2 linked regions of the Nothobranchius furzeri genome follow. The protein of the gene in region 1 interacts with the protein of each later gene in a pairwise test. Links are inferred from orthologs where the notes say so. Each region holds a gene or a part of one and is shown on either strand. Other genes may lie near its edges.

Region 1 (6,601 bases):
TCTCACATCCTTAAATGTGTATCATAAAGAAACGCCCGGTGGCCTCTTAAGCAACACTTTGTCACCTTCAGCAGCTTAAAGTTGTAATATCCTGGGGAAAAAATCCATTACAGTGAGTTGGGGAAAGAAAAAAAAACGTGTAGAAGGGTTTGTGATGTGGCTGCCAGACAGTCACCTGAAACAGACATTACCAAAAATCAAACCCAAACGAGTAGCGCTGCTAAATTAAAACATTCCCATCACTTTGCACCAGCTCAGCAGTTACAGGATCTAAATAAGTAAAGCGCGCAATCTGGACTGCAGAGTTGGGAGTCCGTACCCCCCTCCCCCGGAAGTCTGATTTTAACGCTCACTGTTCACTCAGAAATAGTCGTTAACAAGCCGTGGTTTCTTCTGCTTTTCAAATAAAATAGCTAAAGACTCAAAAACAAAACGTTCCCCCCTTTTCAGGCTCCCGTCCCAATATTCTCTGCCTGTGTTCTGTCAGAGCTCGCTGTGAATTTATTTTCTCCTAATTAGTTTGGTACCAGCACATGCTCTCCAGACGCTCGCTCTGCCCTGCATGCGTGTTCGTGTTCAGAGATGTTTGGAGGAGATAACTGGTACAACCTGATATTCCCCCAGTAGCTTAGCCCCAAAAACATTTAAAATAAAATAAAAAAAAACACAACACCCAGCTCTGTCTGAGCTACTCCTGCCCGCTCACTCACTTTATCTTGATTATTTATATTTTCTTTTGTAATTGTAGACTGAGACATCTGTCAGAAACATTGCGTTTTAGAGAGCCGGGGCCTATCGCTGAAAATGTCATTATCCTCGGGCCGCCTGAGTCCAAACGTGCCAAGAAAACGTTCAGACTTTGTACCAAGGTATTTTGAGAGGGACAGAAACCACAGCAGCTTGGTTGTGTAAACGTTGTTGTGACTTGTGAACTGGCACAGGGCTGGGCCCAGCGCTGGCTGTTCAGAAATAGTCGTTAACAAGCCGTGGTTTCTTCTCACCAGGGCGCCGTGCCTGAGCTGAACCGCGCCGAGCCGGGCTCAAAGGTGTACAGAGTTGGGTTCATGGTCCTGGTTGGGGTCATTCTGGTCTTTCACCCCTTCACGTTCACACACGATGAGAGAAGGAACGACAACATGTGGCTTAAAGGCCAGAAGTGACTCTTCGTCCACTCCTTAACTCATTCACTGCCAGCTGTTTTCTGATCAGAAAGCCGCTGAATGCAAGCATTTTTAAGCATTTTTTCTGTTTTTTGAAGAGTCACGGAATACTGAGCTCTGTGAACACGTAAAATACCAAAAGAAAGAGTAGACTCACTTCTTACATCAGGAAGAATCAGCGTGTTTCTAGCTTTTTCCGTTCTTTCAGAATCCGTTGTTGAAGTGTGAGCTGCAGAAGCTTTTCCGGTTTGTGCCTCGCTTTAGGCATCGTGGCCTCCCAAAACGATCCCCTAATTCATGAATTGTCAGCTTCATGATCACATGACATGTGACACACACAGATGAAAATCAACTTTAGAGCCACAATGTTTACTCTCAAGGTGCGCAAGCTCGTTTCTAGGCCCGCCCTTGGATTGACGACTTTAGCAGTCAATGGAAGTGAATGAGTTAAAGGTCTTCACTGAGAAACCATGTGATACTTTTCTTTTTGAAGTACATTCAGTCGTTCTGTGTTGCATAATTTTGCTTAATGTGAAATTCTTCAACCCCTATCACCCGCATTAACTGCAGAAACTAAACAGAGCAAAAAAATTGGGTCAATAAAAGCCAGTCTCTTCTATGTCATGGAAAATTTGCATTCATGACCCCACCCACCTTAGCTTACAACCGTGGGAAAGTGAGAGTAGAGCGCATCTCAGCCAGCAAAAGCTAGCTACCTATTAGCAACTCCACAACATGGCGGAACACATTTGAGCATGTGTTATTTTTGGAGATAACACATCAATGTTGGCGTTTTACTCAAGACAGAAGTGCTGTACTGTTAGCCAATCAGATGCAACACGTTTGCATTTAATGAGTAGGACTGCAAACCTCACAGATATCGTATACGTAGACACCCCATGGCTATAGTACCAGTGGGCCGCCATCTTGGATGGGTCTCCTGTCGTCCTCAGTGCATTCTTTTCAACTGAGGAAGGTGTTTAACCAACTAAAAAACGCATAGCATTATGCTTTTTCAAAAAATCTGACATGATAGTTAAATTATGAATATTTTTACACAAAATAACTAAAAATATAAAATCCCAGCAGGTAGGCCAGAAAAGTCAACAGTAACCCCACGTGATCTGTTTTTAATAGTACACCGGTTGCTGCTACTGTAGGGTGCACAACAAACAGGCATAGTTGTGTTGACTCCTGTTGAACTTAGAGAGTGAGGAACTCACCCAACATGGCGCGGTTACGCTCTGCAGCGCCCAATGGGTCGTCTACGTATTAATGTCTATGGTAAACCTTGGCGCCCGCCCATTTTTATGAATGACATCTCTTCTCTGATTGGCCAACACTTCCACTGCCTCTGCTACATCCATTCATTCATAGGGAAAAATGTGATGTGTTAACTCCACAAATATAACAAGCCCGGATGTGTTCCGCCATGTTGTGGTGGTTGCTAATGCACGGTTAGCTTCTGCAAACCAAGACACGCTCTGCTTTCTTCTGACTACTAAACCAGTTAAACCTTCTGCGGTTGCAATCCAAGGTGGGCAAGGTTTTCTCTGACCCTATCGCTTTTCCGTCTATCTTCTTTAGACAGCCAATGCAGGAAATAGAGGTAGGACTATTTTCACATTCTGCATTCATGCGAAACCCAAAGTGACTGGTGGCATTCCATAAAGAACAAGTTTTACAAGGTTTCCCAGTGAATGAGAACATTAAAATGTATCCATGTTAGCTTAGAGAAAGACAAAACAAACTGAATTAGTCTTTAGATTTAAGTGTACAGGCATCCGTGTTGTTTTCCGTAAAAGTAAGATGTTCTGTAGTTAAATATCCTCTAAAAATGAACTAAATAAACTAGGTTTTGGCTTTTGTACCACATATTGTTAAAGGAGTTCTCCAAGGAGTTTCCAAAATGTCTCCAAATGTTCTCGAGCGAGAGGCAGGGCCTTGCATTTGTCACTTAAAAAAAATCTAAAATATTTAGCCCAACAATTTTCCTCACAGGTGTTCTCAGTCCAGTTCCTGTGAGAAAGAGCTAGTGACCAAGTTTTCTTACATGACCCAAACTTATAACGACGCATTGTTATTAAATCTGATTCCAGCTGAAATGTCTCAGACCAGTGAGAAACTGGCTTCAGTGTAATGTCCGGGTCAACTTTCTTTGGGTTTGTTGGTGTTGCTCTGAAAAATGTACCTCGTAATGAAAATGCATCCTAGTCACAAGAGAATCACTAGGTTCATTGCTCCCAGGCTTTGATCAATTATGGCTAACTGTGCTTCACACTTCTTATTGCTGAAAAATGACGAAAGTGTCTTCCAACGTTTTACAGGTCAGTTTGTGGCTGTTTGGTTGTTTTTGTTGGCCGAAATTAGCCTCTCCGTGAAGGTATCACATCATCTTCTGATGTAGCATTTTCAGTGAAGTGCAACAATGCACTGAACGCTCCGCAGAAACACTGTCTTGTGTTGGGTATCACAAAATCTGCAGACAAGTTTTGGAAACCCCATTTCTGCCATCAGGAAGTAATGTATCTGCCTTGAAGGAGTCCCACACTTTTTTTAGACAAAGCTTCGTCTTTTAGAGGTGCTTAAATTAAAGTGATGGAGTGAAGCGCATGGGTCTGCAAGCACCTGCCCCCACCAGCTCCGGTAGCTCTATCTCTGACCTCCCTGCAGAGGGACTAAATCTCTACAGGAGCCTGTAAAGTGTCTCATTATCCTGCTGCCTCCACTCTCCCAGCCTCCACTACAGTCTGCCGCTTGTCTGCCCCCACAGAAGCCGCTGCTGGGGCCACCGGGGGAGCTGCAGGTGGAGCCGCCGGGGGCCAGTTCACCGCTGGGGTTTTCCAGAAGACCAAGGAGCATGATGTGGTGCAGCGGCAGCGGGTGGTGGACCTCTGGAAAGACGGCAAGTCAGAGGGGGCCATTGGGCTGGAGCTGAGAATGCCCAAGTCCACGGTGCACAGCATCATTGTAAAGTACCGGCTCAGCAACACGGTGGAGAATCTGCCGCGCAATGGGAGACCAAAGAAACCCTGAAAGAAATCGGGAATGTAGCAAAACTGTAAAAAAGAAGGAATTGGATCGACAAACGAGGCACTTAGACACTCCTGGAATGAGAAGAGCATAAAAGGAGGACAGCTTGATGTGAGAGGGCATGAAATGCCAATCAGTTAAAAGATCCAAAGAAAAAAACTGGAAAAGGTGCTGCCGAAAAGAGGCTCTGAGAAAGAAAACGATACGTTAATGCATTCACGGGTTTTTATAACAAATGCAGCAAAGGAGCACTTTTCTCTCCACAGATTTCTAAGACTTCTTTTGTTTTTTTTCTGTTTCTCCGTCTGAGCCAAAAGACCCCCCCCCCCCCCCCCCCCCCCCCCCCGGATCAATTCTTCATCCTGAGGCTGACTGAACAAGCCTGTCCCCTCGCCCTGACCCCGTACTCCCTCATTCCTCCACACTCCTCCATCTCCACACACGCACACGCTTTTGGATCTCACACACAAAATAAAGCCCTGCAACAAACGTCGTCAATGTGCCGAGAGCAGGGAGACGAAACCCGGAAAGAACAAAGCCGGATCGAGATCATCAGAAAGAAAAAAAAGAAAAGTCTTCCAAATTTAAAGCACTTCTCCCCGTGGACTCTCGCTGTAGCATTCCTAAGCTCAACCAAGCGTAGATGCAAGATGTTAGAAAGTGGTGTGTTGCTTAATTACCAGCAACTCTGCTCTGTTCCAAACTGACAAACTGCCAGTGACGTAATGTATTACAATTAAAACATTTCTTACTGTTGCACCTTTTCCAGGGAGAATTTTCCCTTAAAGGGAGATATCACTCCTCTAGCGTTTACATTTCCTGTTCTTAAACCCCGTCTTCACTGAAGGGAGTATTTATGAGCTCTTCCTCAAAGATGAAGCCTGTAATTTGTCACTGAAAGAGAAAAACGAAATAGAGGAGAGACTCTCTTTGAAGCCATAAGAGGCTTTTTTTTTTTTGTTCCTCGATCGTCTTTATTGTGACAGAGTGATGGATTCCACGCTGTGGAAAATGTCCCCTGATCCCAGAGAAAATAAAACACTCTGGACTGTATCTTTGGTGTTTCCTGCTCGTTGTGTGAGCAGTAGAGCTGTACATCACCATGACATGCTGAGTGAAGAAACGGGACTAAATTATCAGTTTCGCATTCAAGCCTTATGAACGTTTTGGAGCTAAAAGTGAGTGGTATTTCTCTTTGAGTTTGACCGTAAAGGTGTGGCCAGCAATGACAAGATGGTCTGATTGGGTAGGAGTGATGTGTGTGTGTGTGTGTGTGTGTGTGTGTGTGTGTGTGTGTGTGTGTGTGTTTGTATTTTTTTTGTGTCAGTATAGCATTAAAGGGACTATAAGGAAGTTTGACAGCCAAAACATGTATAGAAATAATAAATTTCTTCTTCATACATTCTCCTGCAATGCCCTGGTCCTGTAGAATGAGCCCTAGCATTTTTACTGTTATTGCCTGTTTTTCTGTAAAATCACAGAAAAAGAGAGCTGATCGGGTCGAGCAGGCTGCTTCATGCGCATTCACGCTCAGGCATCGCCCGTAGCATTTGCTATCCGTAGCTTTAGTCTCTGTCGCTGTTCCTAACGCCTAGTGATAAACCTAGCTACATTTCTGAGGTCCCTTAGCTACTTTCTTCTAGATATTTCCTGCAAATTAGCAACAAAATAACCATTTTCGCTTCAAACCGTTCTTTGGTTTGACGTTGTTTCAGGTGTCATCAAGGATATAAATGTACAGTACTTTAAATGTAAATGTACTGTAAATTTACAGTAAGACGCCCAATTTTTTTTGAGACTCACCGATCGGCATTGAATTCACAGATAAAAAAGATGTGGGTTCAACTTTCATTTTGGAACAATTTTTCAAGCAAGGGAAGGGAATGATCTGAGCATGCAGGAGGACTGACTCATCATAAACCTTTGTCGGCTGTGCTGAAGAGAAAGGTACAGAACCAAATAATTTAATTGATTAGCTGTGCGTTCTCCTGTCCTCTGTCCTCCGGGCCACACACACACACATGACTGTCTCGTTAAGGAGTGTGCACGTACAGCATGTGCGCCTCGTGCACGAGCCTACTATTGAAGCTGCCGTTACGCTTTTGGCCTGAGGGGGCAATCGCAAGCTTAAAAATTCAAAAGTCCGTAAAGTCCCTTTAACAATTAAATTTCAAAACAACAGAAAGGTGATAATAAATACATTTCTAGTTTCCATATTTAAAGTTGGGGTTTTATGGACACGTTATAAACAATATCTTACCTGTTAAACTACAACCTCAGTTTGGCTTTACCTCATTTTCAGATTGATAAGCTAATGACTAGTTACAAAGTGTCTTATTTCAATTCCAATGTTAAGAAAATGTATGCAACAGTTTATGCAAATGCGGTTTTATTCCCCTTAATGTAAA
Region 2 (7,920 bases), on another chromosome or scaffold:
TTACTGAAGGAGAGTTTTAGTTTAAAAAGAAACAGATGAGTCTGATCATACAAAGGAAGGTTTAAAGGGGGACTATTAAGAAAACTCCCCTTTTGCTATGTAGGTTTTACTGCCTCTATAAACACTCCAAACGTAAAAATAGCTCATCTATTTGTTTTCTTTTGGTTTAAGGAATCGTGTGGCTAAAACAAGCTGTTTGTGACATCCCAGCTCATTCTTGAAGGTACTGAAGTTGTCAAGGACGAACCTGCTGAGAGGGATTTTGTGGAAACAGGTTCATAGCAAATAAAGTTACATGAGATCTTGATGGAGAAAAAAACCTGTATGTTTGCACGTAATTAACAGAAAAAAAAGCAAACGAATGGGAAAACAATGTAAGGTCAATTGGTTTAAACCAGTTTGTTCAATTTCTCAGATTATTAGAGAGATACTTCATCAAGGACACTGAAAGAGAAAAAGGGTGTTTCTCAAAGTCAAGGCGCCTGGCTCAGCAAGGTGATGTCTTGAGAGGCCAGGTGCCTTGCTTACGAGGATGCTGTCCTTCCTTGGTCAAAGAAAATGGTTCAATGAATCAGACTTGCATCACGTGACCGCGGCTTCCACGGAGGTCATGTAACGTTACGTGACACGTGAGATAACTATTATATTTTATACTTATATGTTTCAATGTAAACGTATAACGAGCATTTAACTTTTTAAATAGTGTATATGTTTATTAAATTAAACATGTAAGCGAGTTACTGTCCGCTAGCCACCAAAGCTGCATCTACTAAGCAACTAACCAACAATAGCTAGCTTCTTTGGATCTAAAAAAAATAAATAAAGATTTTAAATTAGTTGACTGACATTTATACTTGAAATTAGCTCCCGAAGTAGCTGCCGGCTTCTGATCCGCCATCTTTTTGAAAATACCTCAGTGTATTCTGGGATCAGGCTAGGCTACAAGACACCTCCCATGTACCCTTGCTCAGCTAGCTAAACGGCTAATGAACGAAGAACACACGCCTCGGTAGAACATGAACATTGGAACACGTCTTGGCGGTTCTTGATGAGTATCTCCTAGGCAACCGGGGCAGGACCAAGACATCTTATGTAGCTTATCATGTAAACATTGTATGAAAATGTAGGAGACCCCAGGAAGACTAGCATCTGCATTTAGGCAGAAGCTTATGAGGATCTCAATAAACGAAAACATCAAGACAAGGTTCCTTGGCATTGAGAAACACCTCAAATCTACTACATGGTGTAGTCAGAATATTTTGATAGAGGTGGCCAGCAACTTTCTAGGGGTGGCCATTGCCACCCACTGGCCACCAATTGGGGGTGCCATTGGGTGTACACGAGAGAGAGAGAGAGAGATGACCCCGAACCCTAAATGACCTCAGGGGTGATGAGTGTTGAAACACAACAATCTCAATGATTGAGGAAAACCAGTCAAACTTCGAGCATCTTTAAGAGGAACATAACCTCATAATTTGGAGGCAACAGGATCAGTTGGAACTGTTTTCACATTTCCTGATGATATTTTAATGCAACTTTTTACTTAACCTTTTTTCTTATCTGAGGTCCTTTTCACTGATAGATGATGAATATTTTTGTCTGGGCTGTGTGGCAATGTGGTTGGAAGCACTGTTGCCTTGTAGCAAGAAGGTCAGAAGGTCAAATCCCAGCTGCAGCTTTTCTCCATGGAGAGCATGTTTTTCCCCTCTATACATGGGTTTCGTCCAGGTGTTCCACTTTCCTCCCAACGGTGAAAAAAACCGATCCCTGCCTCTTGGAGGGGCCACTATCCTTCATGTTTTAGTTGTGTTTCTGCTCCAACACACCTGATTTTAACCAGCAGGTGATTAACAGACTTCTGCAGAACCTTGTGATCTGCTGAAGAGGTGATTCAACTATAGAGTCAGATACACTGGAGCACAGAAATAACTAAAGCATGCTGGACAGTGGGCTTCTAGGACCAGGATTGTAGCCTAGAAATCTAGACAGACAGGAGGCGAAGCAAAATGATTTTGCTCTGCGTTTCGATTTAGTCACACTCCATTAGGGTTCCCATGAAGAAACCGGAAGACATAGCACAGAAATTTCATCCTAGCCCGAAAACCTACAGGGAGCCAGTGTAATGAAGCCAGCACAGGAGTAATGTGTGCTGATTTCCTCATCCCTGTCTGGAATATGGCTGCCAAATTCTGGACCAATTGTAGATGTCTCAGTGCTGCCTGACACAATACAGGAGGTATTTGCATCTCCATTGACAGTCTGTGGTAGACTGACCCGTAGACTTACATCCATAGTGTTGAGTACGTCACATTATTCATTGTCCAATGGCATGTGGAGACAGTTTGAAAGACAACCCTAGATTTTGTCCCATGACTTTGCTCTGTTTATGGGTCATGGCCGGACTCTATTTTCACATATATAGGATGCCTTGCCAGGCTACCAGGATTGGGCACTCCTTGTCCCTTGGTGTGAGTGTGTGACTGGTTGTTTGTCTCCGCGATGGACTGGAAACTCGTCCAAGGTGTACCACATCTCTCACCCGCTGACTGCTGGAGTTAGACACTACTACCCTGCTGAGGATGAAGAGTTTTAGAAGATGAAGGAGTGATTTTTTTTCTGTTATTTTCTGTATGATGAGTGTGTTTTTCTTGAAACTTGATGATTGCTCCTATGTGATAAATTCTTACTCATGAGACTGTTTGGTCTGAGCACAAAGTCATTTCTGCTCCAGAATGATGTGGTGACTGTTTGTACTGCCTGCTCACATTCAGCCAATGGCAGCAGAGTTGATTAGACACACCTCCTCAGTGCAGATGAAGAAAACAAAATCAGTGCAGGAGGTTCCGCAGGTACAGTCAGACACCAAGCAATGTCCAAGTCACATTTGATTAAGTATATTATTTAAAAGTGTATCAATGCTGAGCAGTACACCTCAATTATCTTTTCAGACCCTGGTGCCACGGTTTTGCAGACACTGTGATTCATCAGCATGGCTTCAGCGAGTCCATGAGGCTGCAGATGAGCTCAAAGTGTGCAGCGAGGGGTTTGGGTTTATCAAACCACGATTTATTCTTCTCACCTTGCAGCTTGGTCTTTAGGATTTTCCCACATGGCTTGGTTGCCGTGACGGTGGCGGCGCAGGTCGCGTCCATCAGTGCTCGCTTCAGAACCCCCGTCCTGTTCTTCTTGCCTGTCGCCAGATCACACTCCCCCCAGGCCTGGAAGTCATACTTGCACTCCCCTAAAGAAAAATTAAAGAAAAGCAGAATTCAGATGGCTTGGTTTAGTGAAGCACTGAAAAAGGACAGAACTGACAGAAAAGCTTGTAAAACGACACAAGGCTGATTCTATATTTGTTTTAACTGCAGTGACTGACTGTAAGGAGCGCTCTGAGCTAAGGGATTTGTGAGTCATAGACCTTTAATGGCTCTTTGATGAGCAATTGGCTGATACCTCCATGTAGCGACTTCATAAGAAGCTTATCTCTGCAACAAAGGATGTTTTTCCCTGTAGAAACAGATGGCACCTTACAGTTTTGATCTGATGTTCCTTACATGACGACATGCGCCAACTGATGAATGCAATTGGGAAAACTAGTTTCTCCATCTTGAAAAAGGCAGATCCAATCTTCAGCTGCTGATCAGTAAAATGAAAGCACATATTCTTGTTGCACATCCACACAGTCAAAAGGGATGCAGAAGCTGGTGCACGCTATAGACGTGACTTTAGAGAGCATGTGTGTTTGCGTATTTTCTCCTTTATTTTCTGGCGTCAGTCCAGCTGTGCTCCCTCGAGGCTGTGACACTCATTCGTCAGCTCCCTCTCACATAAAAGCTCGTGTCACCGCTGCCAAGATCCCAGAGTGCTCATCAGAGGCGAGGAGGAGAGGTGAGGACACCGAGGGAAGGAGAGCGCAGAGAGGGAGTGACAGGGCCATTGTTGCAGGAATCCCACAGGGACCTCCTGAGCAACCAACTTTAAAAAGCCCGGCGTAATTTATGTCTGGGAGAGATAGAGAGCTCCCCGCTCATTGAGGTTTTGTCAGGAAACTAATGCCTTCTTTGAGGTGACGTGAAGAAATATATTAAAGGTTGTAAGACACTGCTGAGTATTTGAAAGTAGATTTATCAGGAGTAACAATGCAATAAAGCACCATTAGTACTGTTCTGCAGTCATTCAGTTACAAATGTTTTCTCTGTTTTTGGTCCGGCTAACAGTGGCGTGCCCAAGCCTTTCCATACGGGGCCCCTGGTGGGGCACTTGTTTATGCATGGTGGCACCTATGGTCATGCTTTTTTGTTTGTGTGTGTGTGTGTGTGTGTGTGTGTGTGTGTGGGGGGGGGGGGGGGGCAAAATTATTCAGTTCTTTCATTTAAGTGATTTCATGAACGCCACATTGTTTCTTCTTCTTCTTCTTCTTCTTGCAGCTGCTGTGGTGGTTAATGAGCCACTTCAGTGAGCTCAGTCAGGTGGCTCCTGGGGTGGCCAATCAGATTCCAAGACTGGCATATGCCAGGCCAATCCCTGTACTCCCCTCCCCACAACTCTAATAATAATAATAATAATAATAATAATAATAATAATAATAATAATACACTTTAAGGGACTTAACGGATTTTTGAATTTTTATGCTTGTGATTGCCCCCTCAGGCCAAAAGTGTAACAGCAGCTTCAATAGTAGGCTCGTGCACGAGGCACGCATGCTGTACGTGCACACTCCTTAACGAAAATAACAGCTGAGACAGTCCATTGTGTGTGTGTGTGTGGGGGGGGGGGGGGGGGGGGGGGGGGGGGGAGGACAGGAGAACGCGCAGCTAATTAATTAAATAATTTGGTTCTGTAGCTTTCTCTTCAGCACAGCCGACAAAGGTTTAAGATGGGTCAGTCCTCCTGCATGCTCAGATCATTCCCTTCCCTTGCTTGAAAAATTGTTCCAAAATGAAAGTTGAACCCACATCTTTTTTATCTGTGAATTCAATGCCGTTCGGAGAGTCTCAAATAAAAACATTGACAAAGTGGCACTACCTCTCTCTCTGCTGCTAAAGCTACTGATAGCAAATGCTACGGGCTATGCCTGAGCATGAACACGCATGAAGCAGCCTGCTCGACCCGAGCATCTCTCTTTTTCTGTGATTTCACAGAAAAACAGGCGATCACAGTAAAAATGCCAGGGCTCATTCTACAGGACCTGGGCATTGCAGGAGTATGTAAGAAGAAGACATTTATTATTTCTATACATGTTTTGGCTGTCAAACTTCCATAATGCCCCTTTAATTCGAGGGCACTTTTCTCAAAACCAAGGACAACTTCAAGTAAAAAAAACAGGGATACAATCATTACAAACAACACAGAGGTTGGTAGAGCAATAAGAGCAAATAGGATACATAAAAATCCAAACATTTTAAGATCTTAGGCCCTGTCCACACGTAGCCGGGGATCTGCCAAAACGTAGATATTTTTCTACGTTTTGGCCTGTCATCCACACGAAAACAGAGTTTTTTCACATGAAAACGGATCTTTTTAAAAACTCCGGCCAAAGTGAAGATCTGCGTTTTCTCCGTTTTGGGTGTCTGCGTGTGGACGGACAAAACCGGAGTTTTAAGGTCCGCAACGTCACTTTCCGCGACAAAAAATGCTGACATCACGTGTGCGACCTGTGTTTACACTAGCCGGCATCATGGATGCCCTCAGAGCTGCGCTCGCTTTATCAATTGTCCAAGCGTTTTTTGCTTGTTTGTTTTTGCAAGCGGAATTACTGCTCCTTGTGGAAGACCACAGACGAAGGACGAGGTTAAGAACGGGGGAAGTACTGCCACCTACAGGTCTGGCATGTCCTTAACAACGTATTTATCCGGGTACGTGTGGACAGAGTTTGTTTTTAAACGAGGTGGTGTGGATGCAAGTTTTTGGAGGGGCGGATATTCGTTTTCAAAAAACCCCGGCTACGTGTGGACTAGGCCTGAGTCTAAAGGGAATAGGCTTGCTTGAGTAGGTGACTTGAGGTGTGCCTTGAATAATGTAAATGAGTCAGTATTTGTCATGGCAGAGGGAAGTGTGTTCAAGAGTGACTCTAGCAAAAAAACACAGATGTTAATTATACATTGACATTTGCAGTTCAGTGGAGATGAGTGTAAATTCGACTTATGCTAGCATTCCATCATACAGCGATCACATTTTAGAAAACTGAAAATTCCCTTTAAAAAATCTGGATTTTGGGGAAAGGTGAGAGAATCCCTCCTTTCTTTGGAGTTCTAGAGCTCTGGTATGCTTTTCTTTACAGTAGAAGCATCAATCAAAACTTAAGTAACTTTCCATGATTGAAAGATCATTTTAATACATGTTACTTTGTTTACAAACTACTATTTACCTTAAATTATTTTGGGAAAACTGTCTTCCCTCCACATCAGTTGTTGTATCATGAGTTGTAGATACGAACATAGATATCTTTATGTTCTAACTGCTTCATGATTCATGGTTTCATCTCAAATATCCCCAGACTGCAGAGAGGACACACCCAGGGTTTCCCAGAACAAAAGTATTTTCTAGCTGAAAATTGTCATTGCAAAACGGGCTGCATCTCCTGCATGGAGACACATCAAAGTTCATAAACTAGTCTTCAATCATTTCTTTAAGACATCTTCTCTTTAAGCACCAACGTTTGTCTGAATCTTCTTTCTGAAGCTGTTTTCCTGCCTGTCTCCAATTAACTTTGCTCTAAGCAAGTGAGACGCACAAGTGCATGGTTACCATGGTGACCTTAATGAGGCACTGGCAGCAGCTACAGCATTTCTTTTGACATTGGTTCTCGTTGAACTATCAGTTATAATTTTAAACACTCGTTGTTTAGACTTTCACTAAGTCACTTTTGAAGCCTCACTTCTAGTCAATGACTTGATGCAACCTGCTGGGTTCCTTATATAGGAAACCTTTTTCTGATTGGCTTAATGAACTGACCTGTATTGGAATGTTTATTATGTGAGACGACTCTTGTCGTGATTTGGCGCTTTATAAATAAACTTGAATTGAATTTAACTGAATGGCATAACTACACAACAGCTGAAAGTATGAAATGTTATTTCTACGCAAATCTTCTTATCACCAGTTGCTTTTGAGCAATAGTTTTGCTTTTTCACGTATAATAAAATCTTGAACTATGTGAACAAACTTGGCCATTGATCTGTGAGACAAAAGCGCTATGGAGGATTCATTTTGTACCAGTATTTAATTGGTGCAATGTGACGTTATCCACCTCTAATTTGTTTACACTTTTCCTTCTTGGTCTAACTTCAAAAGTCGTAATCAGCTCTTCTCCAGACTTTCTGAAGTCCTTATGAACGTTTTTCTTTGGACGTCGGCAGCTTCAGAAAGCTTGAAAAACCAATAATCACCACTTTGAATCTTAATACAGGGGCGTCTGGCAGTTGGGAAGCAAAATATAAGCAATGATGCAAGACTTGTGCACAGATCACAGTAATTTTAAAGGAATGGCAGTTCCTAGAATACACCTGGACCAGAACAAGGAGCTCTTTGGCACCAGCAGTAAATGGAGTGAGTCACGTTCCTGTCATTACTTTTCCCAGCCAGCACAGTAAATAGAACAACGTTGAGCGGAGGTGCTCATGTGTTCGATGCTTGTTACTTCGATTTTTCTCACCTTGGAGAAACCGAGGACGCACCAATTACCAGACGAGATAAGGGCATGTTGTAACTCATCCTTGTCCTGTTACAGCCATTGTTACATCTTGATTGTCCCACTTGTGTGTCTTTATCCTTTCAGCCCCTTTCTTCGTTCTTTGTGCTTCATTCTTTTTCCTAGCGTGTAAACTCTTTTTAACCCTTGTTTTTCTGCATCCTTTCAGTGTGATTTATTTTTATTTTTATGTGATTTATAGGCTAATTAATCTTTTGGTCTTTAGTCGA

What was found. The genes of interacting proteins can lie anywhere in the genome.
Region 2: the proteins of chd3 (region 1) and ptn interact in a two-hybrid assay, tested with the Homo sapiens proteins (2 studies listed by BioGRID and IntAct). The link is inferred for Nothobranchius furzeri from reciprocal best matches to the Homo sapiens genes CHD3 and PTN.

What each region holds. Positions count from the first base shown.
Region 1 is NC_091742.1:58,679,663-58,686,263, reverse strand, and holds the end of chd3 (chromodomain-helicase-DNA-binding protein 3), read left to right. Parts: intron 1-3,933; coding exon 3,934-4,196; 3' UTR 4,197-4,352; downstream 4,353-6,601.
Region 2 is NC_091741.1:42,129,616-42,137,535, forward strand, and holds part of ptn (pleiotrophin), read right to left. Parts: intron 3,242-7,920; coding exon 3,080-3,241; intron 1-3,079.